Callithrix jacchus: one gene and its partners. The protein of the gene in region 3 purifies or fractionates together with the protein of the main gene of each other region. This does not show direct contact. Links are inferred from orthologs where the notes say so. Each region holds a gene or a part of one and is shown on either strand. Other genes may lie near its edges.

The links.
Region 1: the proteins of FTSJ3 (region 3) and NOP2 fractionate together in Homo sapiens (co-fractionation; 3 studies listed by BioGRID and IntAct, with this or other methods). This does not show direct contact. The link is inferred for Callithrix jacchus from reciprocal best matches to the Homo sapiens genes FTSJ3 and NOP2.
Region 2: the proteins of FTSJ3 (region 3) and NIFK fractionate together in Homo sapiens (co-fractionation; 3 studies listed by BioGRID, with this or other methods). This does not show direct contact. The link is inferred for Callithrix jacchus from reciprocal best matches to the Homo sapiens genes FTSJ3 and NIFK.

The regions. Positions count from the first base shown.
Region 1 is NC_133510.1:20,754,200-20,763,748, reverse strand, and holds the start of NOP2 (28S rRNA (cytosine(4447)-C(5))-methyltransferase), read left to right. Parts: upstream 1-4,483; 5' UTR 4,484-4,568; intron 4,569-4,835; 5' UTR 4,836-4,839; coding exon 4,840-4,945; intron 4,946-6,308; coding exon 6,309-6,354; intron 6,355-6,513; coding exon 6,514-6,602; intron 6,603-6,789; coding exon 6,790-7,022; intron 7,023-9,232; coding exon 9,233-9,288; intron 9,289-9,408; coding exon 9,409-9,549. Other genes in the region: CHD4 (chromodomain-helicase-DNA-binding protein 4), read left to right, coding at 637-832, 2,039-2,202, 2,378-2,395. UniProt on the Homo sapiens protein: S-adenosyl-L-methionine-dependent methyltransferase that specifically methylates the C(5) position of cytosine 4447 in 28S rRNA. Required for efficient rRNA processing and 60S ribosomal subunit biogenesis.
Region 2 is NC_133507.1:106,283,330-106,293,055, reverse strand, and holds the start of NIFK (MKI67 FHA domain-interacting nucleolar phosphoprotein), read left to right. Parts: upstream 1-4,660; 5' UTR 4,661-4,704; coding exon 4,705-4,809; intron 4,810-6,107; coding exon 6,108-6,245; intron 6,246-9,726.
Region 3 is NC_133506.1:89,100,831-89,110,436, forward strand, and holds the start of FTSJ3 (pre-rRNA 2'-O-ribose RNA methyltransferase FTSJ3), read right to left. Parts: upstream 6,039-9,606; 5' UTR 5,987-6,038; intron 5,902-5,986; 5' UTR 5,876-5,901; coding exon 5,809-5,875; intron 5,636-5,808; coding exon 5,530-5,635; intron 5,214-5,529; coding exon 5,167-5,213; intron 5,041-5,166; coding exon 4,961-5,040; intron 4,543-4,960; coding exon 4,443-4,542; intron 4,348-4,442; coding exon 4,153-4,347; intron 4,075-4,152; coding exon 3,959-4,074; intron 3,854-3,958; coding exon 3,749-3,853; intron 3,671-3,748; coding exon 3,570-3,670; intron 3,345-3,569; coding exon 3,264-3,344; intron 3,187-3,263; coding exon 3,043-3,186; intron 2,907-3,042; coding exon 2,771-2,906; intron 1,461-2,770; coding exon 1,276-1,460; intron 1,132-1,275; coding exon 1,014-1,131; intron 935-1,013; coding exon 657-934; intron 418-656; coding exon 335-417; intron 232-334; coding exon 132-231; intron 1-131. Other genes in the region: PSMC5 (26S proteasome regulatory subunit 8), read left to right, coding at 6,455-6,478, 7,093-7,164, 8,929-8,998, 9,477-9,574.

The DNA of each region.
Region 1 (9,549 bases), on a different chromosome or scaffold from region 3:
TGCCTCAGGTAGCTGAGGTTACAGGTGTGCACTACTATCATGCCTGGCTAATTTTTGTGTTTTTAGTAGAGATGGCTTTTTTGTCTTATTGGCCAGGCTGGTCTTGAACTCTTGACCTCAAGTGATCTTCCCGCCTAAACCTCCCAAAGTGCTGGGATTACAGGCATGAGCCACCACACCCAGCCAAAATGTTTTTGAAGAGTAGTTGATAAAGAGTAGATGATAAAAAGATACTTAACTGTAACTGAATGAAAACATAACATGGATATGTATATAGTATGATCTCAGTTTTGTAAAAAACTATGCACAAAACCTAAAAAGAAAAATATCAGAATGTTAGTATTTCTTCTAGAAGGTAGGACTATCTGTTTTTAATTTTTGGTATTGTCTAAATTGAGTTTTTATCATTTTTGTATAAGAACCTAAAAGATAAAGAGTTTTAAAAACAAGCACATTCAAAAGGAAAGAAAAAAGGTACAAGGCAAGTTAAACTGCTTGGGTATGGGAATGAGCTGTCCATGAAGTTCTTTATAGGTCCTTATTACCATGAGAAACGACGAGGCGAGCTTAGAAGCCACACAAGTGAGCAAAGTGAGTTACCAGTCCAACTCCCATTTCCTCTTATGCCTTGTCCAGCTCTTAGAACAGGCTCTGGTGATTGAGGAACAGCTGCGCCGGGCTGCTTACTTGAACATGTCAGAAGACCCTTCTCACCCTTCCATGGCCCTCAACACCCGCTTTGCTGAGGTGGAGTGTTTGGCGGAAAGTCATCAGCACCTGTCCAAGGAGTCAATGGCAGGAAACAAGCCAGCCAATGCAGTCCTGCACAAAGGTAGCCAGTGGCTCCCCTGCCTCCTGCTGATTCAGCTTCCTTCCTCATCTGACCCCATCCCAGTGTATATATATCTGTTTTCAAACCTTTTTCAGAGCTTCTTTGGGAGGTTAGGAGGTAATAGGGATCTTTGCCATCCTAGGGAAGCTAATATCTTAGAGGCAATCAAAGACAGTACTTTGCCTCCTTTTTTTTTTTTTTAAAGACGGAGTCTTACTCTGTTGCCCAGACTGCAGTGTAGTGGCGCGATCTCAGCTCACTGCAAACTCCATCTGGGAGTTTAATTTCCTGTCTCAGCCTCCTGAGTAGCTGGGATTACAGGCGTCCACATGACCTTGGGTGATCCAGCCTCCCAAACGGCCTTTTTTTTTTTTTTTTTTAAAAGAGATGGTTCTTGGCTGTGCACAGTGGCTTAGGCCTGTAATCTCATCACTTCGGGAGGACTTGGCCCACTGCAACTTCTACCTCCTGTGTTCAAGCGATTCTCCTGCCTCAGTCTCCTGAGTAGCCGGGACTACAGGCATGCAGCACCACTTGTGGCTGATTTTTGTATTTTTATTAGAGAGAGGGTTTCACCATGTTTGCCAGGCTGGTCTTGAACTGACTTCAAGTGATCCACCTGCCTTGCCCTCCCAAAGTGCTGGGATTATAGGCGTGCAGATCCACTGTGTCTGGCCCTGGCCACCTATTTTAACTTTAAATATATTCAGGTTCTTGAGATGGAAAGCAAAGCACAATAATACAGTGTCATTTGGGATACTTTAGAGGTAACTTCAGGTGATAAAAGATCCCTTCAAATTCTAGACCCCTTTCAACATTTTGTTTCTAATTAAAGAAAAGGTTATGAGGAGGTGGAGGGTGAAATGAGGAAAAGAATGCTGTTATAATGGAGGTGGGAGACAGATTCTGAAGGTAGAGAATTATTAAGAGAAAAGAAAATAGGAATAAGCTTCTCAAGAAGGGGAAATACCATAATACCAAGGGATAGTGAAGGTTTAGGTGACTTTAAAAAGCACAGGATTATGGACAGTTGGAACTGGAATATGAGAAATGGGAATTGGAACATGATGGAGGTCAGGTGACAGAAGACAGTAGCACATCACAGTCACTTGGTCACTGAGAAGTGACGGGGGGGCTGGTCCACTAGGATAGAGGGAGCTCAGTCTTGGCCACCACAGCTCACCACCTCTTTTTCTCCCTATGCAGTTCTGAAACAGTTGGAAGAACTGCTGAGTGACATGAAAGCCGATGTGACTCGACTCCCAGCTACCATTGCCCGAATTCCCCCAGTTGCTGTGAGGTTACAGATGTCAGAGCGTAACATTCTCAGCCGCCTGGCAAACCGGGCACCCGAGCCTACCCCACAGCAGGTAGGACCATTTTCTTCTCGATGCCACCTCTTCCTACAGAACCATTCTAGAGTTTGTAACTTTGCTGTATGTCCCTCGCTTTGCATACTGGGTGGATGGGCTATCTGAATTCCCTTGAGATTGGGTAGCTTCCTGTCATCTGGAATTCTGACTCCTTGGTTCTCTTTCTCTATAGGTAGCCCAGCAGCAGTGAAGATGCAGATTGATACCACCTCCACCACTGAGCAGTGACCTTCCTCACTTTTCTCTTGTCCCAGCTTCTCCCTTGGGGGCCTGAGAGACCCTCACCTTCCTTCTGCCCATCTTCCATGATATAAACGAACAGCCCCCGTGCACTGGGAGAGGGGTGGGAGTGAGGGGCAGTGGTGCCCTTCCTGCAGGAGAGACATGCAGCAGTAGCGCCGGCGCCATCTGCAGGAGCTGGCGGGCTGGCCTCTGGACCCTGGCTTCTCCCCACTGTAACGCCTGTTACAAACTGTTGTGGGTTCCTGCCAGGCTTGAAGAAAATGATCTAAATTTCTTCCTCCTTTTGGTTTTATTTTGTTGGTTTATTTTATGTTTTCTTTTCTCCTTTTTGGGGGGTATTCAGAGTGGGCTGGGCCCCTGGGCGAGACACAGCTACCTCTGTTGGCATCTTTTTAATACCAGGAACCCAGCGGCTCTAGCCACTGAGCGGCTAAATGAAATAAAGTAGAAAAAAAAAAAAAAGGAAAAAACCAAAAGCATAAAAAACCACAGCAAATTTCTTGATGAAAATTGAAAATAAAAGTTTCCTTGTATTTTAGTGCTCTGGTTCAGTGTGGGTGTAGGTGCAGGTGGATGAGTGTGTGTGGCAGGAGCCTGGCACCTGTATAATTGAAAATTAAGGTATCCTGATACTCCACTGAAGAGCTGGGTTCTGTGTGTGGGTGCAGTGTGTGCCCAGCCAAGGATGACTTCTACCTGTGGAAAACGAGAGGCTGCAAAACTGGAGGACCACAGCTTGATAGCTCTGTGACCTTGAGCAAGTTGTTTCACTTACGTGGGATGCAGATTTCTCATGTATAAAACAAAAAGATAAACCCTCATGGTTGTCAAGTTAAACCAGTAGAGTACTTTTAAGTTTTTAACATCTACTAACCACTATCTTAATGTTAGTTTCAGGGAAGGCTGAGGGAGGTTTTTCTTGTTCAGTTGTGCAAAATGGGGATGCAATTTGTGGAAGAGCACACCCTCGATTTAACACCACCGGAGACTGGACCAAACACCCTCCCACCCCGAAATCCTGGTAGCTCACCCTTCCGTCCCAGACTAGGTCAGCCTTGCAACCCGTCGTTTCCCAACGAATTATAGACTTGCCTGAAAGCGAGTTCGGGCCGAGACGCCCCCTGTGAACGAGGTGCAGTGCAACACCTCAGCTGAGGGGCTGAGCATGTGTGAACGTCAAGGAAGAGGCTGGTAGGGCGGGGCGCGGTGGCTCAGAGCCTGTAATCTCAGCACAAAGGCGGGGGATGATCGCTTAAACCCAGGCGATATAGTGAGACTCCCCCTCCCCCCCCCACCCCGTCTCTATAAAAGATTTTTAAAAAGGGGAGGCTGGAAGTAGAAGGTAAGTAAGTGGTAAGGAATTCCATGATTTTTTTCTCTTTTTGAAGTGGAGTTTTGCTCGTGCTCAGGCTGGAGTGAAGCGGCACGATCTCCGCTCACTGCAACCTCTGCATCCCGGGTTCACGCAATTCTGCCTCAGCCTCCCAAGCAGCTGAGATTATAGGCGCCCACCACTACGCCCGGCTAATTTTTGTATTTTTAATAGAGATGGGGGTTTCACCATGTTGGCCAAGCTGGTCTCGAACTTCTGACCTCCGGCGATCCACCCACCTCGGTCTCCCAAAGTGCTGGGATTACAGGCGTGAGCCACTGCGCCCGGCCTGGAACTACATTATCTCGATGCTGGATTAAAGCAGTGCATGCCAGGGAGAGGACCCCGCTGTCGGGCCCCGGTTCGAGGAGAGGGTGCGGCTTTCACGCACCAGCTTTTCCGACAGAAACCAGCCGTGAGGCTCAAAGCCAACTCCTTGAAGGAAGGGGGGGGCAAGCTGAGAGGTTTCGTCACATTGCTCCTTCCATCCCCCGAGGGTGTAAGCTGCGCGTTCCCTTCGAATTTCCCCCTGCCAGCTTCCGCCCGCCCAGCGCGCTTTCCCAGAGCAAGCGTAAGTTCCGGGTGCGGCGGCCTACTGGTCGCAACCGGAAGAGGCGGGGCCACGAGGCTAGCGCTACCCATGCGCCTGCGTGGGACGGTTCTGTGGCAACTGCGGGCCGAAAGCTAGCTCCGGAGTACACGTGGAGCGCCGCCCGAAGGGCAGTCTCAGGCGGTAACCCGCGTTCTGGTGGGTCTAGAGGAAGCTGGGGGACGAAGAGTGGCAGCGCTGACCTGGTCTGGGACGTGGGGAGAGGGATGCGCTACCTGGGTTTCCGAGTGGGAGGACGTTTGATCGGGCCTCCAGGGGGATAGCGGGGGTGCTTGAGTCGCGGGTGCTGAGTCGTGGGTGCTGAGTTGAGGCTGTGCCTTTTCCCACTCTGATACGCCAAGCCTGCGTTCTGCCATTCCCTCTGACACGCACGACGCTATCTTCTCCCATTTCTGTATGCCACAGTACCATGGGGCGTAAGTTGGACCCTACGAAGAAGGAGAAGCGGGGGCCAGGCCGAAAGGCCCGGAAGCAGAAGGGTGCCGAGACCGAACTCGCCAGATTCTTGCCTACAGGTAACAATTAGTTGTGGCCCCCTGATCCCTCAGCTTTTGCAGTATTCTGTATCATAACCTCCGCTCTTTTTTCATCTCTGTTCATTTTCTATTCAGTCTTCTCTGTATGAGTTACTACGAGGTATAAATGAAACACTGTCGTTGAGATTGTAGGAACTGTTTAGGTCATAGAGAAGATGTGACATGGACACAACTATTCCTGCAAAGAAAAGTGCGATTTAAAACATTGTGGGTTCAGAGGAAGGGAGATCCTATGCAGAACTGTAAAAGTTTTTGTTAAAATGGGTTTTGAAAAATGGGTAACATTGTAGTAAGAGAAGTAGCGAAAGGGGAGGGGTCGGTCAATGACTTGCCTTTTGGAAGGTATGGAAATGGAAAAGCATGGATCTGGCTTCTCCATGCCGATCCGTCTGCTGTGTGGAAGACTGGACTGGGAGTTTGTGTTGGGCAGTGGATAAAGGATGCAGTTTATTGAGATGGTACCAAATCCTGGACACTATTGAACTTGTTGGTTATGTTATATCACTTCATCGTCTTAGAGTCCTGTGAGAGAGGCACTATTAAGGAAGTGGATGCTGAGACGTTAAGAAACTCGTATAGCCAGGTATGGTGGCTCACGCCTGTAATCCCAGCGCTTTGGGAGGCCGAGGAAGATGAATCACCTGAGGTCAGGTATTCGAGATCAGCCTGGCCAACATGGTGAAACCCGGTCTCTACTAAAAATACAAAATTGTGGTGTCTCAGGCCTGTAGTCCCACATACTTGGGAGGCTGAGGTAAGAGAATCTCTTGAACCAGGGAGATGGATGTTGTAGTGAGCCGAGATTGCTCTATTGCACTCCAACTTGGGAGACAAGAGTGAAACTCCATTTCAAAAAAAAAAAAACTGGTATACAGCTATTATATAATGATAGGGCTGAAATTCAAATGGCCTCCCTTTAATTAGGGTACTAATTCTCTTACCACTTTTATTTTCATTCCCGTTTTTGTTTTTTATTTACTTTTATTTATTTATTTTTTTTGAGATGGAGTCTTGCTCTGTCGGAGTGTGGGTTATAATGCAGTGGTGTGATCTTGGCTCACTGCAACCTCCGCCTCCCAGGTTCAAGCAATTCTCCTGCCTCAGCCTCCCGAGTAGCTGGGACTACAGGCGCATGCCACCATGCCTAGCTAATTTTTGTATTTTTAGTAGAGACAGGGTTTCACCATGTTGGCCAGGATGGTCTTGATCTCTTGACCTCGTGATCTGCACGCCTTGGCCTCCCAAAGCGTTGGCATTACAGGCATGAGGCGCCGCACCCAGCCCTCCTTTACTTTTAATGTCTCCTGTAACTTATTCTGCCTCATTTTTCTTTTTTAAACAGTAAGTGATGAAAATTCCAAGAGGTTGTCTAGTCGTGCTCGAAAGAGGTAAGTGTGGGTATCAAGACTTCAGTAGGTTAAATTGGTACTGCTCATCTTTGACCACAGAGTTAATTGTGGACTCTCATATTTCCCCGTGGTGGAAATGGCAGAGCCTGGAAGTATCTTCCCATTTCTTCACTCCTTGTATCTCTTGTATATTTTCAGAGCAGCCAAGAGGAGGTTTGGCTCTGCTGAAGCCCCTGAGACAAATAAGTCTCCTGAGGCCAAGCTGTTGCCTGGAAAGCTACCACAAGGTCAGTGAAACTAAGAGCTGGATGCTACATGTGGAGTCCTCTGGGTCCTGGGTAGGGAAGGACTTGCTGAACATTTCTAGAAAGGAACAGCCAAAGGACATTCTGAGGAGTAGAAAGTACAGGCTCCTAGGGTGTGGGGCCAGGGAATGTGTGGCTGCCATTAGTTCAGAACTCTTCAAACCCTTAGGGATCTCTGCAGGAGCTGTCCAGACAGCTGATAAGAAGGGAACCCAGTCCCTATTTAATGCTGCTCGAGGCAAGAAGCGCCCAGCACCTAGCAGTGATGAGGAAGAGGAAGACTCTGAAGAAGATGGTGTGGTGAACCACGGGGACCTCTGGGGCTCCGAGGACAGTGATGCTGGTATGGTAGATGACTATGGAGCTGACTCCAACTCTGAGAATGAGGAGGAAGGTGAAGAGGTGAGATTCATCTCTCGGGGCATTCAGAGAAGGTCCTTTCCATTTAGTTTTTTTCTAGATTTTTGAGACTATTTTTTAGTGACAAGGATAAGCCCGATTAGAGGAAAGCAATTTTTGTGCTCCATCACTGTTTCCCTACTGCCTTACATCCTCTCCCAGTGCACCTACAAGTTTGAAACTGCTGTGGATAGAGCATTTAAAAAAATCTGGAAGGCTCTGCTGATGTGGATGTGGGAAGGTGGACAATGGTATGTTCCACCGACGGGAATAGACATGTAGGCACTGTTTTTATAAAGCAGTTAACTCAGAACTTTGAAAAATGTGTTCCGGCCGGGCGTGGTGGTTCAAGCCTGTAATCCCAGCACTTTGGGAGGCCAAGGTGGGTGGATCACGAGGTCAACAGATCGAGACCATCCTGGTCAACATGGTGAAACCCCGTCTCTACTAAAAATACAAAAAATTAGCTGGGCATGGTGGCACGTGCCTGTAATCCCAGCTACTCAGGAGGCTGAGGCAGGAGAATTGCCTGAACCCAGGAGGCGGAGGTTGCGGTGAGCCGAGATCGCGCCATTGCACTCCAGCCTGGGTAACAAGAGTGAAACTCCGTCTCAAAAAAAAAGAAAAGAAAAGAAAAATGTGTTCCTTTTGGCTGGGTATGGTGGCTCACATCTATAATCCCGCACTTTGGGAGGTTAAAGCAGGAGGATTTCTTGAGACCAGGAGTTGGAGACTAGCTTGGACAACATAGAGTGAACCTGTATCTACAAAAAATTTTAAAAATTGGCCGAGTGCAGTGGCTCACACCTGTAATCCTAGCACTTTCGGAAGCTGGGTGGATCACCTGAGCTCAGGAGTTCGAGACCAGCCTGGGCAACAAAATGAGACTCAAAAAAAAAATAGCTGGTGTGGTGGCATACGCCTGTAGTCCCAGCTACTCAGGAGGCTGAGGCGGGAAGATGACTGGAGCTTGGGAGGTTAAGGATGCAGTGACCTACGATCTTTACTGCACTCCAGCCTGGATGACAGAGTGATACTGTCTCAGAAAAAAACAAAACAAAACTGAATCCTTTTGACATAGTAATTCCCTGTTAAGGAAGATGACCCAAAATGTAGGCAAAGAGTTATTTACTGAGGTGTGCAGGAAATTATTATAAAATTAGTGTGCGAATGTATTATTAGAATTGTATAGAATAAAAAAAGTTTCCATGTGCACCCTTTCCTGCAACGCCTTATATCTACAGAGTCACTATGAGGTTTGCAGGCACCATGTTGATCATGATGGCAGAAACTCTGGAAACTTCCAAAATATACAATCTGCTTAAGTATATTCATGCATATGATGTAGTTAACACTGGTCATTATGTCTGTGAAAATGCTTGTGATCTAACTGAAGTATCAAAAGCAAGAAACAAACTTGAAAATGCATTATGTGAAAAATATAGAGTAAGTCTGGAAAAAATATGGCAAAATGGTGGCCAAGGGCAATTTTTTGTCTTTTTTTTTTTTTTTTTTTTTGCAACCTCTGTTTCCCGAGTTCAAACGATTCTCCTGTCTCGGCCTTCTGAGTAGCTGGGACTACAGGTGTGTACCACTACGTCCGGCTAATTTTTTGTATTTTTAGTAGAGACAGGGTTTCATCGTGTTAGCAGGATGGTCTTGATCTCCTGACCTCATGATCCGCCTGCCTTGCCTCAGCCTCCCAAATGATGGGATGACAGTTGTGAGCCACCATGCCTGTCCTTGTCCCTTTTTATACATACAGGTATTTGTATTTCAAGTTTTTTTTTCTGAATGGAAAAGTGAAAAACATAGGAGTAGAAAAAAAAAGTGTAATTACCGATTTAATTCATTACTTAGTTTTTGTTTTTTTTTTTGAGATGGAGTCTTGCTCGGTCGCTCAGGCTAGAGTGCAGTGGCTCAATCCCAGCTCACTGCAACCTCCACCTGCTGGGTTCAAGCAATTCTCCTGCCTCAGCCTCCCAAGTAGCTGGGATTATAGATGTGTGCCACCACGCCTGGCTAATTCATTACTTAGTTTCAACAGTGGTCAGTATTGTACCAATCTTATGTTCATTTCTTTGCTTCTCTATTTCCTTCTGAGAGCAAGTGTCAACATTTTTATTTAGCAGAAAAAATAAGATACAGAGATAGAAAGTGCTTCATGGGCTGATGGAAAGGCAGGCCTGTGTTAACAACCCTTGTCTCTTCAGTTGCTGCCCATTGAAAAAGCTGCTCGGAAGCAGAAGGCCCGGGAAGCTGCTGCTGGGTGAGTTTTGGAAGCAATTGGGATGGAGCATAGGCAGCAGCTGGGGTGGGGGAAGCCGTGAGGAAGGAGGAGGTGTTTGTTTTGGTTTGTGAATCACTCTGTTCCTGGACCTATTTCTAGAGTCCAGTGGAGTGAAGAGGAGACAGAGGATGAAGAGGAAGAAGTGACCTCTGAGTCAGGCCCCCCAAAGGAGGAGGAGGCAGATGGGGGCCTGCAGATCAATGTGGATGAGGAGCCGTTTGTGCTGCCCCCTGCTGGGGA
Region 2 (9,726 bases), on a different chromosome or scaffold from region 3:
ATTCCATTCTGGGCAACTGACTGGGTAACAGAGTGAGACTCTGTTTAAAAAAGGAAAAAAAAAAAAAAGGAGGTTAGGGACCAAAGGGTTGGATGGTTGTTTGTGCAAACCCATACCTTTGAGCAGAGTATTGTCCACAGCCACGGCAATCACACATCCAGATCTCATTAGAAGACTCGCCAGCACATATATTAGCCCATGGCCCAGCCAGTGCTAAAAAAGAGAAATGTGAGAGCAGAGCTCGTGACATCAGACATTTCCAATCTCCATTTGCCACATTAGTCACAGTGGATCCTGACAATTCTGTTTTCACTGTAACTTTCCCTGAACTTTCTGTAGTTTATGGGAAGGTTGTCCTTCCAGAATTTTAATATCCTAATTCCGATGTAAAATTGGTTATTCCCTGGCTACAGAATTTGGCTTCGTGACCTTAGCATATCAGTAAATGTATTTATTTATTGGCATTAGCCTCCGTCAATATACTTTGCTTCAGGTCCAGTAGTAAATGGGATAAGTTGTGCTTTTCTATTTTTCTTTGCTCATTACTGGCATGGGGATCACTATGGTTAGATTAAGCAAAAATAAGAAAACAGCATGGCTCAGAAAATAATTTTAGAAGTTCTAAAGTGATGTTGAAATGGTTAGTTCTACTAATCGAATCCTACCAAATGTTGGAATTAAAGGAGAAATAAACTCTGAACTAGACAAGTTTGTTTAACACTAGATAAATCTCTTTCATGGTTGCAAACACAGAAGAGGAGGAGTCTTAGAAATAATCTGCAATGTCAAACCAATTTAGCCTCAACTGAGATGAGGAGAGAAGGTGGGAAAGGAGTAGAACCAGTTATCTAAAAAATTATGAAACATGGAGGAGAGGCTGCTTTCTCAGTGGACTTGGTGCAAACTTTGTTTTAGGCACAATATGTCTCTTTAGTATAGCAAGCACTCGATAAATGTTCAATTGAGTTAAACGTCCTGGATTTCCGGTGTTAACATTCACAGAGAAATACAGTGAGCACACTCAACCTTGCACTTTGAAACAAACAAGCAAAAGCAAGAGCCTGATTATTTGACTATTGATTTTATTTATTTATTTATTTATTTATTTTTTAAAAAGACATTTATTCAGCGTCACGATCAGACTAATTAAAATCTTCTGCCACTGCCATAGCTACTGCTGCTACTGGAACTGCCATAGCCACCTTGGTTTCGTGGTTTGGCAAAGTATTGGCCGCCACCACCATAGGGGCCAGAGCTTCTGCCTCCAAAGTTTCCTCCCTTCATGGGTCCAAAATTTGAAGACTGATTGTTGTAACTGCCAAAATCATTGTAGCTTCCACCACCTCCAAAATTGCCTCCATCATTACCAAATCCATTATAGCCATCCCCACTGCCACCATAACCACCACCACCACAGCTGCCACCAAAGCCACCATGACCACTGAAATTTCCTCCACGACCAAAGTTGTCATTCCCACCAAAACCACCTCCACGACCACCACCAAAGTTTCCAGAACCACTTCGACCTCTTTGGCTGGATGAAGCACTAGCCATCTCTTGCTTTGACAGGGCTTTCCTAACTTCACAGTTGTGGCCATTCACAGTATGGTATTTCTGAATGACAATCTTATCCACGGAGTCATGGTCGTCAAAGGTTACAAAGGCAAAGCCCCTTTTCTTGCCACTGCCTCTGTCCGTCATGATTTCAATCACTTCAATTTTTCCATACTGTTCAAAATAATCTCTTAGGTGATGTTCTTCAGTGTCTTCTTTAATGCCACCAACGAATATTTTTTTCACAGTTAAGTGGGCACTTGGTCTTTGAGAATCTTCTCTTGAGACAGCTCTCTTTGGTTCCACAACTCTTCCATCCACTTTGTGTGGCCTTGCATTCATGGCTGCATCCACCTCCTCCACAGTTGCATACGTGACGAACCCAAAGCCCCTGGAGCGCTTGGTGTTTGGATCTCTCATGACCACACAGTCTGTGAGCGTTCCCCATTGCTCAAAATGGCTCCTGAGGCTCTCATCGGTTGTTTCAAAGCTCAACCCTCCAATGAAGAGCTTCCTCAGCTGTTCCGGCTCTTTAGGAGACTCTGACTTAGACATGATCGCGGGGAGAAGAAAGACTTTAACGATGCTGCTTCGGCGGCGTCCACGGGCAGAAAGGACGACTATTGATTTTATTTAAAGACATTTTACTCTTTGTTAATACATATGCTGTGAAAAGAAACTACAGAACGTGGCCATTAAGCCTATTCTTTAAAATAGTTTTAAAGGATGGGTTTCAAAAGCTTTGGGACTATAGGTGTACGCCACCATATCCAGCTAATTTTTGTATTTTAATTAATTTACTTATTTTTTATTCACAGACGGGGTTTTGCCATGTTGGCCAGGCTGGTCTCGAACTCCTGACCTCAGGTGATTGCCTGCCTTGCCTCCCAAAGTGCTAGGATTACAGGCATGAGCCACCGCACCCCACCTGTATTTTATTTTTTATTTTTATTTTTGGAGATGGAGACTCGCTCTATCACTCATGCTCCCAGGCTGGAGTGCTGTGGTGTGATCTTGCCTCACTGCAACCTCTGCCTCCTGGGTTCAAGTAATACTCTGCCTCAGCCTCCTGAGTAGCTGGGATTACAAGTGCCTGCCCCCATGCCTGGCTAATTTTTGTATTTTTTTATTAGAGACAGGGTTTCACCATCTTGGCCAGGCTGATCTTGACTCTTGACCTCATGATCCACCTGCCTGGGCCTCCCAAAGTGCTGGAATTAGAGGCGCCCACGAAAGTATGATTTTTCTTTTTTTTTTTTCCCTGAGATGTTGTCTCACTCTGTCACCCAGGCTGGAGTGCAGTGGCACAATCTTCACTTACTGCAACCTCCACCTCCCGGGTTCAAGTGATTCTCCTGGCTCAGCCTCCGGAGTAAGTTGGGATTACAGTCGCCTGCCACCACGCCTGGCTAATATTTGTATTTTTAGTAGAGACAGGGTTTTGCCATTTTGGCCAGGCTGGTCTTGAACTCCTGACCTCAGGTGATCCGCCCACCTCAGCCTCCCAAAGCACTGGGATTACAGGTGTGAGCTACCGCGCGTGGCCTCCAAGTATGATTTCAACTGAGTATATTCCTCACTTGAAAATGTTTTGCAGAATTCTGTTACCTTTCTGTTGTGGCATGTGCTAGCATGTTATTACTTTGCTGTTAGTCATCTTCTGTTGAAAACTAGGTGGAAGCTTTGTAGTCCCCCAGTTACACAGATTTTGAGAAAGGGAAATTTCCTTTGCACTCTTACTGAGGTCTGAAAACACTGTTGGAACCACCGTTTTAGGTTGGAAAATATAACTGCTGTAAGTATATGTATGGGAATGCAGATCTCACGGCTTTTAACTTTCCACAGCACAGGAAGTACATAAAGTAGCTGATATTACAATTCAAATGTCATCAAAGTGACTTTTCAGCCTTGTAAGTTTTGAATGTAAGTGGTTTTGGCTTTTAATTCTAAATTGAATTGACTTAAATTCATGAAGAAACAGCAAGTTGGCAGCAAAATCTACTTTCTTAACCTGTTCAGTATTTGATGAAAATAGAAATTTTAAGTCCCCAGGCTGTAAGTTCCCTAAGGGCGACGGACGGAGGAACACAGGAGGGGCTCAGACACTAGTGAGTGAAAGAATAAGCAAATTAGGGCCGGGCTCGGTGGCTCACGCATGTAATCCCAACACTTGGAGAGGCTGAGTCGGGTGGATCACCTGAAGTCAGGAGTTCGAGACCAGGGTATCCTGCAAAATTAGCCGGGGGTGGTGGCGGGCTCCTGCAATCCCAGCTGTTCAGGAGGCTGAGGCAGGAGAATCGCTGGAACCCGGAAGGCGGCGATTGCGGTGAGCCGAGATCGCGCCATTGCCCTCCAGCCTGAGCAACGAGAGCGAAACTCCTTTTCGATTAAAAAAGAATAAATAAATAAGCAAATTAAGGAATGAGAGCAGCATCTCAAGAGCACAGGTATTGTTTTGAAATTGATTTTAGACCTCCTTTGCAAGTCGGCGTGAATGTAATTGTTTCAGGCACTTTTTTTTTTGAGACCGAGTCTCGGTGTCATCCAGGCTGGAGTGCAATGGCGCGATCCTGCCTCATCGCAAACTCCCGTCTCCCGGGTTCAAGCGATTCTCCCGCCTCAGCCTCCGGAGAAGCTGAGATGACAGGCACAGGCCACCGCGCCCGGCAGGCACTCTTAAGCGAAGCCAATCCGCGCCTCGCCAGCGGAGGGCGCCGGATCTCGCCGCGGCCCAGCCCCAGACACACCCCCGCGCCTCAGCCCCAGACACACCCCCGCGCCTCGCCACGCCCCCTAGCCTGCCCCCGCGTTTTGGCGTGCTTACTCCCCACCCTCCGCTTCTTGTCACGCCTGGTGCCACGCCCCAGTGCCTCCGCGCAATACGTGCCCCTCGCCACGCCTCGTGCCCCGCCCTTGCCCCCGGAGCAATTTATACCCCGCCCCCTTGCCTTGCCGCACCGCGTGCCCCGTTCCCTCTCCGCCGCGCCACTCCAGCTCCAACCCGGGTCCCGACTCTTGGCCCTCCCCGTCCCTCGCCACGCCTTCCACAGCGCTTCGCGGCGCCCGGGTCCTGATTCTACTTCCGTCTCGGAGGAATTGGGAGGCCGACGTTTCCGGTAGTGCCGCGTGGAGTTAGTGGCCGCTTTTGGCATGGCGGTGTTATCTGGTCCGGCTGCTCCAGTCTTGTCGCTTAACCCGCAAGAAGATGGCGAGTTTCAAAAGGAGGTGGCGCAGGTTCGCAAGCGCATAACCCAGGTGAGCAGGCGCCCTAGCCCAGGCTGTGAGTACGGGAGACGCATCGGGTCTAGGGGGTTTCTCGGGTTGCGCAGTTCCCGGCCCGGCTCCTCTTGCCTTCGCGCGCGCCTTCGTTACCTCCAGGGTCTCCCATCTGGATTCGCCTGAATCAGGGACCGACCTCTTGAGCTTGCAGGCCACGGTTTCCCAGACTAAAGGATTTACGCTGGTCAGTACATTATGGAGGGGTTTGGCCGCTGAGGACTTGGAGCCTTCATGTGGAGAGTAAGGGGGAGGTATTGGGTGACGGAAGCGGAGGAAGGACCCAGCTGGAGGGAATGGGCTCCCATACTGCAGATTATCTCCGGGTTAGAGCTGTCACTGCCGCGTTGCCTCCGAAAATGGAGGCCCCAGACTTACCACTTTCGGGAGGTTTGTATGCCGGGTTGGAGATCTGAGAGTTATTAAAATACTTTATTTGCCAAGTTGCGCTTGCTGACTAGGGCCCCTGACATCCCTTATACTTTCTGTGGTTTTTAGCATACAATACACCGGGAAACTTAGACGTTCTTGTTACAGAGGTAACAGACGACTGAGACGCTGAAAGGCTAATCTGTACTGTGAGAGTTAACAATCATCTGGAGAATTTTTCGATGAAGTGCGAGTAAACAGTATGCATACAAAGTGATGGGTACAGTTATATAGAGTTCTCCGGGCAGAAGATGTAAAATGGCTTGTTCAGGGTTGTCCTTGCTTATCCGCTGATTGACATAGTTATTGAGCACTGACATTTTACTGAGTGGTGGGGTGCCAGGCTGGAAAGACAGTCGACTACTGCTCAGCCATGGCCTTTGTGGGTAGAGACATTAAACAGCCAGTTCTTTAATTACTGCTGTGGTAAGTGGAAATGCAGAGTAGGTTCTTGGGTCGAGGGCTGGGACTAGGAGTTTTGCAAGCTTTGTTGCAATGTGATTTTCTTAAAGATATTTAGCTGGTCGCTGTGGCTCACACCTGTAATCCTAGCACTTCGGGAGGCTGAGGAGGGTGTATCACCTGAGGTCAGGAGTTCGAGATCATCCTGGCCAACATGGTGAATCCTCGTCTCTACTAAAAATACAAAAAAATAGCGGGGGGCGTGGTGGCAGGCGCCTTTAATCCCAGCTACTCGGGAGGCTGAGGCAGGAGAATTGCTTGAATCTGAGAGACGGAGGTTGTAGTGAGCCAAGATCAGGCCACTACAGTCCAGCCTGGGCAACAAAAGGGAAACTCCATCTCAAAAAAAAAAGAAAAAATAATTTACCTGGTCTTTATGTCTTCAGCGAAACAAACAAGAACAGCTTACCCCTGGAGTCGTCTATGTGCGCCACCTGCCTAACCTACTTGACGAAACCCAGATCTTTTCCTATTTCTCCCAGTTTGGCACTGTGACACGGTTCAGACTGTCCAGAAGTAAAAGGGTAAGATTTTTGTAATTGTGTTTGCTGTTTTGTTTTTCAAATGTGTATTATCTTTGACATTAAAGAGCACGTTCACTTATGTATTATTGTTTATCAGATTTCATTGCAAAAAGGAGAGCGGCTGAGGTTTAGAATCTGAAAGGGCCGGGCCAGGCGCGGTGGCTCAAGCCTGTAATCCTAGCACTTTGGGAGGCCGAGGCGGGTGGATCACGAGGTCAAGAGATCAAGACCATCCTGGTCAACATGGTGAAACCCCGTCTCTACTAAAAATACATAAAAGTAGCTGGGCATGGTGGTGCATACCTGTAATCCCAGCTACTTAGGAGGCTGAGGCAGAAGAATTGCCTGAACCCAGGAGGTGGAGGTTGCAGTGAGCCGAGATCGCGCCATTGCACTCCAGCCTGGGTAGCAAGAGTGAAATCTGTCTCAAAAAAAAAAAAAAAAGAATCTGGAACGGCCACAGGAGCAAAATCAGTATTATTGTAAAAGTTTGTTTGTTACATTGCTCCAAATCCTTATATTAAGTTGACAGTCCTGGTAAATGAACTTATGTATGAGGACTAGGTTCATCCATCTTGTATTAGCCTTTGGTACAAGCATCCCTATCATAGCAAAGATTTATATGGTGAATAAAGATAAGGACTCTGGAGTTGGACTGCCAAGCTTTAGGGCCAGGCTCTAGCCCTTACTAGTTAGAGTGATATGACCATACCATGCTCAGTGTTGTGATCTGTTATATGTGAGTAAAACTTTATGGGAGTATTTAGTCAAAGGTTAAAAGAAATAATATATATAAAATCCTTAGAATTATTGCTTGGCACACAGCAAACACTATATAAGTGTAATTACTATTGTGTCATACCTGCCTTCTAATGAGAAAAAGGTGTATGTAACTTGTTCCAAGAGTAGAGGAGTGACCCACTTTGTTCCACTTTCTTTTCTTTTTTTTGAGATGGAGCCTTGCTGTGGCCCAGGCTGCTGGAGTGCAATGATGCAATCTCTGCTCACTGCAACCTCTGCCTCCCGGGTTCAAGTAGTTCTCAGCCTCCTGAGTAGCTATGATTACCGGTGCCCACTACCACACCTGGCTAATTTTTTGTATTTTTAGTAGAGATTGGGTTTCACCATCTTGGCCAGGCTGGTCTTGAACTCCTGACCTTGTGATCCACCCACCTCAGCCTCCCAAAGTGCTGGGATTACGGGAGTGAACTGCCTCACCTAGCCTACCCACTTTATTTTTTCCCCACACATAAACTTTAATGGGTTGTAGCCATAGACGCCTATTTGATTTAGCATCTAGGGCATAGGGTGTGCATCCATCATCTGTTAGTTATCCTAAAGATACAGATTATAGGTAGAATTGAGGTCCCTTTCCTACCCTTCCCAAGGCTCTTCACCTTCTCCTTTAAGTAGGGAATTAAATTCACAAATTCAGTTTTCAGTGCTATCTATAAGTTTTTATTACATATATAAATGTATATATGGTATTATTTTTAAATTCTATTATTTCTATCCTTTTTCAGCTGAATTCTTTTGTTCAGTAATCAGCATTATTCCTGTATCTCTAGTGCCTTTGTTATCATCATTGCTTGTTACTTGTAACTGAAGTTTATCCACCCTCCTATTGAACATTAGGTGTTGTTTTTTTGTTTTATTTTTTTGAGACAATCTCACTGTGTCACCAGGTAGCCATAGTGTAGTAGGGCGATCTCGGCTCACTGTATCTGCACCTCCCAGGTTCAAGTGATTCTCCTGCCTCAGCCTCCTGAGTAGCTGGGATTACAGGTATCTGCCCCTGTACCTGGCTAATATTTGTATGTTGAGTAGAAACAGGGTTTCACCATGTTGGCCAAGTTGGTCTCGAACTCCTGACCTCAGGTGATCCGCCCATCTTGGCCTCCCAAAACGCTGGGATTACAGCATGAGCGAGTCACTGTACCCACCCCAAACATTAGGTTTTTTACTACTCTTAACTCTTTAGATGAAGCTGCCATGAAGTCTTTATGCAGGTATAGGCAGATTTATTTAGAACAGTATTTTGCAGACTTTGGTTCTCAGTAAGAAGTCAGTTTTTACCATCACAAAGAAGATAAGGGTTTAAAAGAAAAAAGTAAGTTTTACAGCACAGACCAGCACATGTACACATGCATGTAAGCATAACTGAAATAAAAGTCAAATGAGACAATGTTTAAACTTGTTTTGTTGGATGATTTTGTTTCATTCTACTCAGGTTTTTGTTTTTGTTTTTGGTTTTTTGGTTTTTGTTTTGTTTGAGACAGAGTCTCACTCTGTTACCTAGGCTGGAATACAGTGGTACAATCTCAGCTCACTGCAGTCTCCACCTCCCTGGTTCAAGTGATTCTCCTGCCTCAGCCTCCCAAGTAGCTGGGATTACAGGTGTGCGCCACCACACCCAGCTAATTTTTGTATTTTTAGTAGAGACAGCGTTTCACCATTTTGGCCAGGCTGGTCTCAAACTCCTGATGGGGATCCACTCACCTCAGCCTCCCAAAGGACTTAGATTATAGGTGTGAGCCACCATGACTGGCCTAGTTTTGTTTGTTTTTTAGTATCCTTGTGACCTAAACTGATCCTATTACCCCCTCAAAAGGTCAGGCTCTGAGTTTGAAAAGTGCAAGTGTTTTCCCGTGTTGCAATATAGTAATTGTTCCCCCAGCTGTGTGTTTTTATTTGTAGGCTATAGAGAAGTAGAAGAAATAGTGGGATGGTCATCTCTACAGTCCTCACCTGGATTCACCCATTATTAACATCCTAACACATTAGCTTCATTGTTTTGTTACTATATAAACACCTACACACACACTCTTTTTTCCTGAACCATTAGAAAAAAGCAGCAGTTATACTACTTTAGATACTTCATCATAAATCTGAGAATGAAGACATGTCTTTCAATATAACCACAGTATAATGGTATATAATGCACTGTCTTTTTGTATCTCCAGTTGTTCCCAAAATGGTTTTTTGTTTGTATGTTTGTTTTGTTTTTTAAGAAGGAATCTGGCTCTGTTGTCCAGGCTGGAGTTGAGTGGCACAATCTCAGCTCACTGCAATCTCCACCTCCCAGGTTCATGCGATTCTCCTGCCTCACCCTCCCGAATAGCTAGGACTACAGGCATGCGCCACCACACCCGGCTAATTTTTGTATTTTTTAATAGAGACGGGGTTTCAGCATGTTGGCCAGGCTGGTCTCAAACTCCTGACCTCTGGTGATCCACCCGCCTCGGCCTCCCAAAGTGGTGGAATTACAGGCATGAGCCACCACACCCAGCCTTATTTTGTTCTTGAGACAGGATCTCATTCTGTCGCCCAGGCTGGAGTACAGTGACAGGATCATGGCTAACTGCAGCAGCCTTAAACTCCTGGGCTCAAGCAGTTCTCCCACTTCAGCTTCCGAAGTAGCTGGGACTACCAGTGCGTGCCTCAACACCTGGATAATGTTTTTTATTTTTTTTTTTTGTAG
Region 3 (9,606 bases):
GTTGCAGTGAGCTGAGATGGCGCCATGGCACTCCAGCCTGGGCGACAGAGTGAGACTGTCTCAGAAAAAAGAAACTACCCATTTACACACCAGACCCTGGGTCACTCTTGATGAGTTTCTGGCCTCTTTACCTGTTGAAGGAGTTATCTATGAGTTCTCTCTTGGCCTTTTTGGAAGAGGCAATAACAGCACCTAGAGCAAGTCCTTCAGGGTCCAGTATCCGATGTTTCACTAAAGAGGGAAGGAGAAAGATCAAAGCTCTATTCCCAATACTGAGACTTCAGTGGTCTCCTCTCATTCCACGGTATACAGAATGGGTCCACGGTATACTCACCTGGGTCCTCAATCGGCACGATCTCAAACCCACCATCATTTGACTTACGCCCATGGCTTCTCTTACCACGGAGAGGTTCCCAGCTGTGAAGAGGGGAGGACTCTGAGTGATGCCACCACTCTCCCTACTACTCAGACCATACTCCCACAGAATTTACAAAAATCCTGCCACCCAGACTGTAGCCCAGACCAGTTGAATCAGGATCATCAGTATAGTATTTTTAACTCTCCCCATCTGGAGCTAAGATTGAGAACCCCCAATTCAGAGAAATGGTTCAAGCCACTGCTTCCTATCACTTCTCTTATCAGCTGCAACCACTCACCTCTCTTCATCCTCACTGCTACTACTGCTATCACTATCTGAGCTGCCATCCTTTTCTTCCCCTTCAGGGCTAGTGGCAGCTTCTGTTCCTGAAGAAGCCTCTGTTCCCTTAGGGGTTTCATCCTGGCACAGGGGAGACATTCTCTCAGTCTTCAAACTGGAAGGCGGTGTCAGTGGCTGTGGCTGCTGCTGTCCCTTCCGCCGGCTCTCGAACAACAGCTGGGCCTGGCTGATCTCCAGGGCCTCGTCGGCATCGTCCTCAATCCCAGCAAAGCTGCCCTGTGATGGGAGAATGTCAGCTGACCTTCTCCCAGGGAAGGCTGACCTCCCATCAGTCTTGCCTCCAGCCTCTTCATACCTTTGAGAACCACAGGTTGGCTTGTTCTTCCTGCAGTACTGCCTTTTCCTCCAGTGGTACCAGCAGTGGATTCTCATTTTCCTCCTCTTGATCATCTTCCGCTTCAGCAAATCGCACACTGTAGATCCAAAGGAAAGTAGGAGAGGGCTCAGGGACCCAGAGTGCCTGGAGCCCTTGCTCCCTTACTTGGGCTCTGGCAGTACCCACCCAGTGCTGCCTCAGAGTGGCAGCATTCCCTCTGGCACACACACGTGCCCCTTACCACTTTCTGTCCCTTAGACACCGATGTTCCCTGACTCCTGCCAGCTCCTCTGGATCCAGGTCACTATCCAGAGATGTGTCATCACTATCGTCCTCAACATCTGACACACAGATGTCATCCCTTGGCAGATTGGATAGAAATGTGTCTGCTGCACTCATGTCCCCTTGTGTTACTTCCTCTAATAACTGAAGTGTAACAAACAAAGAGGTAAAGAAAACATACTGTTTTTTTCTGCATCCCTCACCTCAGTCTATGCTCAGCAATGCAAGAAAGAACACTGGCAAATCCATTATCTCCTTTCGCAGACGGGAAAGCTCACACCCAGGGTAGTGAATGGCCTGTTTACAACACCCTGTTCTAGGCTGGGTTACTGGTCTCTCCCACTCAGCTGTCTTGTCTCAGTGGTAGCACAAATAGGTCTTAAGGAAAAGTACCCTAGCACCAAATCTTAACATATTCTACAACGTTGGTTTTCTTTTAAAAATTACTCTCAGATGGCATCTCAGTCACCTCCTGAGAAGACCATCTACACAATTTGTTTCCACTAAATAAAAGGGGCCCAGCCAAAAAACATTCAACCAAACTATTCCACTTAAACCAACTGTCAGAACTTTTTATTTTCCTCATGGCAAAGATAGTAGGCTGGGTATGGTGGCTCACACCTGTAATCCCAGCGCTTTGGGAGGCTGAGGCAGGAGGATTGCTTGATGCAAGGAGTTTGAGGGTACAGTGAGTCATAATGGCACCACTGCACTCCAGCCTGGGTGACAAAGCAAGGCCCTGTCTAAATAAAAAGACCCCAACTACTGTTTCTTGAGTGTTTATCACATAGGAGGGATTACAACTGACCATCTTTATTCCTCATAAGAACTCTAGTAGGTAGGTTCTATTATTGTTTTACAGATGAGGAAACTGAAGCAGCAAGGATAAATGATAGTTCAGTCACTTCACACAGCTCCAGGTGGTAGAGCTGGGAAGGAAATCTGAGCCTGTGTCTGCTCTAGGCCCACCATGCTCTACTGCCTCCTACACAACAAAGATGACCTGATTATGACACTCCCTCACAAAAGCCACAAAAGTTCATTTTGCCTGTGACCCTGATTTTGTCAGGAAAAACATGTTCTTCAGTATTCAGTGGAAGAAGTCTAATGCACGTGCTCACTTGGTCTCAGTGAACTCAAGAATGCTGCTCCCCTCTGATGGAGACCCTCTATTCATCTGTTTGTAACTCAAGTAACCTGGCTGCATCAACTATAACCTAAGTTCTTTTCTGATGTTCTAGTTCTACAACAATAAATGTAGTACACCCATCTGTCTTCCTAACTTCATCCTTTAAGGTTTGCTTGTGGCCTTAGACTCACCAAGGCATCTTGTGGTGAAGACAGCAACCACAGCCCATTGTTCAGGAACTAAAAAAGACATTCAACACCCCCCACCTCCAAACTCCCACATGGATCTTCTGTCTCCTAAACCTGCAACCCCAATGTTGCCTCACCTGATGGCCCCGGATGGTGCGCAGGGAGAACATGCCAGTCTCCCCCTCATCTGCGATGGAAACCCCAGGCAGATCCATCTTCAGCTCCACACGCTCCCGCTGCTTTCTCTGCTCACGCAACAGCTTCTTTTTCTTCCTGAGGGGGTGGATTGAGGGAGTAAATGTGCCCAGCTCTGAAGAGTTTCTATCCATGCCTTGCATTTTCTTCTCCCATTGTCACATGGAGGATCCCTGCGTTGGGAGACTCCATGCTTCACCCCAGCTCCTCTCACCTCTTTAATTCTGCCACCTCCTGGGCCTTTATTTTGGCCAGGGTATGGTTCAGTTGTTCCTCCTCCTCCTCCTCAGAGGGCTGCACTGTGGTCCCAGCTATTGAGTCCTTCTCATCACCTTCATCTTCCTCTCCAGAGCTGAGGCTGGCAAAACAGTCCAAGGAGTTAGGTTATTTTCCCGACTTTCCCTTAACACCCGCCTGGCTGAGTTCCCTCCTCACCTGATGTCCAGTGCCTCTGCTTGTTCTTTCAGCTTCTTGGCCACATATCGCCGAAGTTTTGTTCTCCAGTTTAGTAGCGACCTGCCCCAGAAATAATATTACTGGTCTTGCCATCTCCCTCTTTGTTCCTGCCCACTTCTGTTTTAGGCTCACTAACCAAATTTCAGGCTTTGGCTATATAAATCAAAAGGCTCAGGCCCCCACCCCAAACCTTTAGCACAGCAACATCCCCTTCCCAGAGATCCAACATCATGGCCTTTCCCTGCCTCCAGGGCTCCTGGCCCCCATGCCCACCCTACTGCATACCTGAGTTCCTTGCGCCCTAATACTCTGATGTCCTGACAGCACACCTGTATATCCTCAGTGGTGGCTGGATGCTGTACCAACTCTTCATCATCTATCATGATCTGTTTGGGAGGAGGGAAAGGAGATTCTCAGGCCATGTTTCCAGGGTTACCTCATGTCCCTCAAGGCTGGAGACTCACTTCGCTGGCCTTGGAGAGGAAGTCAACAGGGTTGGCAGCTCGGAGGAAGTCAGTGACTGAGGTACGGTGATAGAGAGTGAGGTCACCCTCAGCATAGCCTTCGGCCTTAGGGAGAAAAATAGAGAAGGTTGGGCAGTCCCTTCTAGGGTATGAGGCCCAACTTCCCCAGAGTTCCAGGACCCAACGGTGACCCCACTCCCCAAAACACACCTTTGGCTTCTTCTTAGTCACCAATTCAGTAACAGTCTTAGCCTGAACTTCTACCTCCTTGAAGGCGAATTTGGGGTCAAAGAATTTACTGTCAACCTTGACTGGGGCCAGGAATCCTAAAAATGACAGGATATGTTAAAAATTATGCTTTGGGAGTAGGAAGGCTGGACCAAAAGAAAGGAAGTGATGCCCACCTTGGCAGACCACAAAGATCTCTGCAGATTCATGGCGAGACGCTTGGGGCTTGGTGGCCTGGACACGGCGGAACAGCTGCTGAAAGATCCATAGCAGAGGCTGATAGTCACGGGAACGGAAAACCTTTGTGATGAAGCAGCCACCACGGGCCAAAAAGTCACAAGCCAAACGCAGAGCCATCAGTGTCAAATGGGCTGTAGGATAGAGACAGCTGAGGCATTCTGCAGCCCAAGAGGGCATGCGCCCACCTCCACCATCACCTGATCTCCAAGTGCCACACTCCTTGTACCTTGTGAGTAAGCATCATGGACCCAGCTAGCCCCAATGTTGGGGGCCCCATCATTTAGCACAACATCAACCTTCCAGGTCTTCAGCTCCTTCCTCAAGGCCTAAAGAGAATAAAAAGAACTATGGAAACAGAGACACAGTAATAGGCCTAATTCAGCCATTTGTCCATCCAGTCATTTGTTGAGTGCCTATCATGGGCCAAATGCTGTTCCAGGCACAGAAGATAACATTAAACAAAAATATTACGTTGCTACCTTCATGGAGTGTAGAGTCTAACAGTGAGTTCATAAGAAAAGACTTCACTAAAGATCTCTGTCCTTATCCCGATTCCAAGCACCTTCATCCCTGACTCTAAATAAATGCTGGAGTGGACACTATGGAAACCATGGGTCTTGTCATACAGATGTCAGGCGGGAACGTGCTCAAAACATGGAACATCCTCTAAACTTGCTTCTAGAGGATTTTGGGGATGTGGATGTTTGAGTATAAACGGGAAAGGAAGAGAGAGACTCCTGTTACCTGCCTACAGCGTTCAGTTGTGATATCCTCCTGCAGAGTCACCACATTGGGGAGAGGCTTGATTGGAACCAGGTCCACTCCTGGAAGAAATCAGGTCAGAGTATTTAAAGGAATACTTTTGCCTCAAACAGGGAGGAGAGAAATACATGACAAAGTACCTCATACACCCATCCCTTAAAACACGAAGGAGAGCTGTCCTCACTCACCCACAATAAGGCTGGATACAGGCATAAACTTGGCAGCTACCTGCAGCCTATAAAAGGAATAGAGATTTAAAACCTAGAGCCAACCCTTTCCCTCTCTTGGCAACTGACCTCTCATTCCTGGTGTTACATGCACTGGCCAGAGCATGCCACAGGTACGTATTCCAAGCCTTTTCTCTGCAATCAAGAAAGGAAACGGTCCCCCAAGGTTTAGGAGGGACCTATGCTCTGGGCTGTAGATAAATATGAGGCTGGAATTACTGTATTGCGGGAGGGGAATCCCGAATCCCGTCCTCCCGCAACGAAACTGGAATCCATCCCGGCTCTGAACCCAGAAAGCTGCCACTTGTGGCAAGTGTTACGTACCACCCCCCTGGCGCAGCACACAGATCCAGCAAGGCTCGGGCTTTCTGCAGGAACTGAAAGCGGCGATTGAGCTGGATCAGCTTGAAAGCAGATCGGGAACGGTAACCTGGACAAAACAACCAAGTGCATAGAGGGCTTCACCAGCAGGATTTCTCCGGCCTCGCAGACCACCACCCGTTCTGCAGGAGAGGAACCCAATGGTCGGAAACTGGAAGCGAACCGGGAAGAGATCGCTCGCTCGCTCGCTCGCAGACGGAGCGAATCCGAATCCAGACTCACCCGTCTCCTTCGCCAAGTGATAAAACTTGTCCCGTCGGCTCTTGCCAACTTTGCCCTTCTTGCCCATGGTGGAATGGAGGAGTAGCGCTCAATCTGAGGAGAAAGTAGAAGTTGGGAACGTGTCTTTCCGGAGCACCAGATTCTACTTCCAGTTTCCCACTTTCCGCAGCAATTCCACCTCGCGCCGGGTTCCACACACTCCACCTAGACCCAGCGCCGCTTGAAACTGCACAAGTAGGCAGCAAACGTACTTCCGCTTCCGTTTGCGTCCCTGCGTCCCTGGCTCAAGGTTTTCCGCCATTTTGCGTGTGGCCATAGATTTTTTTTTTTTTTTTTTTTCTCGATACTCTGTCCTCGGGTTTTGTAAGTTGAAAGTTGGGACCAGGGAGGCATATTACAGCACATAAACATAGTTTCTATGCGGGAACACTGAGGCATGCTACTCCCTCTTCTTCCTTTTCCAAAGCCCATGAACTCGAGTAGCCGCCCCTCCCATCATGGTACCCTTAGTTAGTGCGGACTCGCCGCACACTCCGCCCACTGACCCGGAACTTTTGTCTGCCTAGTCGTCAGGTCTCAAGCCTTGTCTTCCGCGCCTGCGCTCCAAGACGGATCGGATGCCGGCTGTCTCTGCTGAAAAGGGAAGATGGCGCTTGACGGGCCAGAGCAGGTATGGCGGCTGCAGTGGCGGCCCGGCGGGTTATGGGGCTGTGTGAGGAGCGGGTGTCATCTGAGTGGAGAGCGGGCCGGCGCAGGAGAGTCGGGTGGGTAGGAGGTGGCTGGACCAGTCCAGGCTGGATGCTGCCTGCGACCGGATCTGCTGTGTCAGCGCCGCCCTCGGTGAGTCAGGGCAAGGCTGGAAGAGGAGACACGGTAGAAGTGGAGTGAGTAAGGGGAGCAATGGGCGCGGGAACAGCCGGCCCGCGGATCGCAGGAGATCGGACGCCAGTCCTTCGGCTCCGTTTCGCTGGCTCCGTCGGCAGTAATGACCACTCGGGCTTGTAGCGCGCTTGACGCAGTGCAAAGAGCTCCCGTGTATATATCGCCCCTCGGTCCTCCTAAAAGTCTTGCGAGGTAGGCGGCGTTCCCATTTTATTTTAATCATGAGAAAATGGAGGGTTCCAAGAGAGGGAGGGATTAGAACCCAGATCCCGAGCCTCGGAAGTACAAACTTTTTTACTACGCAAAGCTGCCTGGTGTCAAGACTAATTCAAAGTGCCCTGCAAGTGGCTTTACCCCCTCGGACGTTTAGCCTGTCGTTTAAGACTCACTCTGTGTCTTCAGATGGAGCTGGAGGAGGGGAAGGCAGGCAGCGGTCTCCGCCAATATTATCTGTCCAAGATTGAAGAACTCCAGGTGAGGACAGACTCCAGCGGGAGCTAGGAGAGGGGTTGGGAGGGATGGCTGCTGACTTCCACAAATCTAATTCCTCTGGGAGTGCAGTGGAAGAAGCTGCTGCTGCTTCTTTCTTGTTTGTTTCTTAGTGGGGTGTGTATGTTGGAAGTAAGCAATCTCTTGTTCTCAAGTCCCACCCCTTTGAGGGTTCTAGTGTTCACGGTTTGTTCCACATCTTTAAGAGTCAAATCTTAACAGAAAAGATACCTCTAGCCAAAGGTCAACCCTTTTGGAAGAAGCCCGAGTGTGTTTCCTTAGAAAAGGGAACACACAGGCTCAGGAGATGAGATTTATCACGAAGAGGTTGGGTCAGGATGAAGTGAGAATGTGAGGAAGGGCATCATTGAGACCTCTGAACAATGCTCATTCCATGGAGACTGAATGAAAGAAACTGGGCAACCCAGAGCTCTAACCTAAAGCACTTAACCATAGAAAAAGGACCATTTATGGACTGTTAATGTTGTCAGTAAGGCTTCCAGGAGTAAGTTGGTGTGGCTTCAGGCAGTAAGCCTTACTGCATAATACTTGCAGGTATTATGTTTAGTTTACCATTTTTGAATGTTTTCATGTGTATTTGTTTGTTCACCTCAGTAATCCTGAAAAGAAGCAGGGCAGCTGATGCGATACCCACATGCCGTTTGGTAACAGATCTAGATTTTTAAATACGGCTTGCCTTAGCTTTACCTTGCTTTTGATTTGACAGCAGCTGGGCTAGAACTCAGGCTTCTCACCTAAAGATCTTTCCACCAGGTGACTTTGCCTTCCTGCAAGAAATTCCCTGTTACATGAGCCAGCTGTAACTTTTCTCCATTAGATTCTGTTATTCCTGAACCAGTATTGGACAACATAAACAGTAGGCTGTTAGTGTTACAGTGTTATGTTACAGTGTTACAGTGGGCTATTAGTATTTTAACTTTGGACAAGTCCATGGATTTTCAATTTCGCCCTAACCCCAATTGACTGTTTATGTTGTCAGTAAGGCTTCCAGTAGTAAGGTACAGCTTCCAGTGTGGTAAGCCTTACTGACAACAAACAGTAGGCTGTTAGTGTTAAATGTCATGTTATAGTGTTACAGTAGGCGATTAGTAGTTTAACTTGGGACAAGTCCATGGATTTTCAATTTTGCCCTCACCTCCTGCGTTGTTCAGGGGTCAGCTGTAATATAAATTGGATGGGGGAAAGCTACAAGTAAGAATTCTGAATTCCAAGTGCATTTGCAGGTATTATGTTTAGTTTATCATTTTTATTCGTTCACCTCAGTAGTTCTGAAAAGCAGCGGGGCAGCTGATACTATACTCATGAGCCGTTTGGTAACAGATCTAGATTTTTAAAAATAGCTTGCCTTAGCTTTACCTTGCTTTTGATTTGATAGTAGCTGGGCTAGAACTCAGGTGAGTTCACCTGACGATCTTTCCACCAGGTGATGTTGCCTTCTCGTAAGAAATTCAGTGTTATATGAGCCAGCTATAACTTTTCTCCATTAGATTCTTATTCCTGGACCAGTATTGGACAAGTAGCCTTCTTTGATGGCTGCCCTAGGCTCCAGAGGGACTCGTGGAGGACAGGACAGGGTCATTAGAAACACACTGGAGAATCTGAAACAACATGCAGGTGCCCTGTGTGCCCTTCCCTCAGCTTGTTCCGACCTGTGAGGTCTTGACCAAGATCCTACCTCCTCCTGTCTCCTGCCCTTGAGTAATGAAATTTGTCTCTTGTCCATTACAGCTGATTGTGAATGATAAGAGCCAAAACCTCCGGAGGCTGCAGGCACAAAGGAATGAACTAAATGCTAAAGGTGAGGAAAGATGCGAAGCTGCATGTGGGCAGTTTGAGCTCTGTCCTAACTTCCCTGCACTGTGTCTTCACAGCAGTGCTGTTTTCTCCATTGTCATCTAGTAGTTTCACATGCATCTCTTTCCTGAGCCCCATTGTAACCTCCTTAAAGACAAGAATTTTGGCTGGGTGCGGTGGCTCATGCCTGTAATCCCAGCACTTTGGGAGGCTTAGGTGGGTGGATTACAAGGTCTGGAGTTCAAGACCAGCCTGGCCAATATAGTGAAACCCCATCTCTACCAAAAATACAAAAACTAGCTGGGCACACCACCATGCCCATGCCCAGCTAAGTTTTTTACTGTCTCAGAAAAAAAGACACGAATTTTGACCCTTGGCCTTCCTTTAATAACTTGAGTGGTACTTAGCTCATGCATGTAGAATTGGATCCTGGGAGCTCCCAAGGAGTAGCTAGGTGATCACCATGTCTGTTTGCCATCTAGTTCGCCTATTGCGGGAGGAGCTACAGCTGCTGCAGGAGCAGGGCTCCTATGTGGGGGAAGTAGTCCGGGCCATGGATAAGAAGAAAGTGTTGGTCAAGGTAAAAGCAGCATGACCCAGGGACCAGCCCAG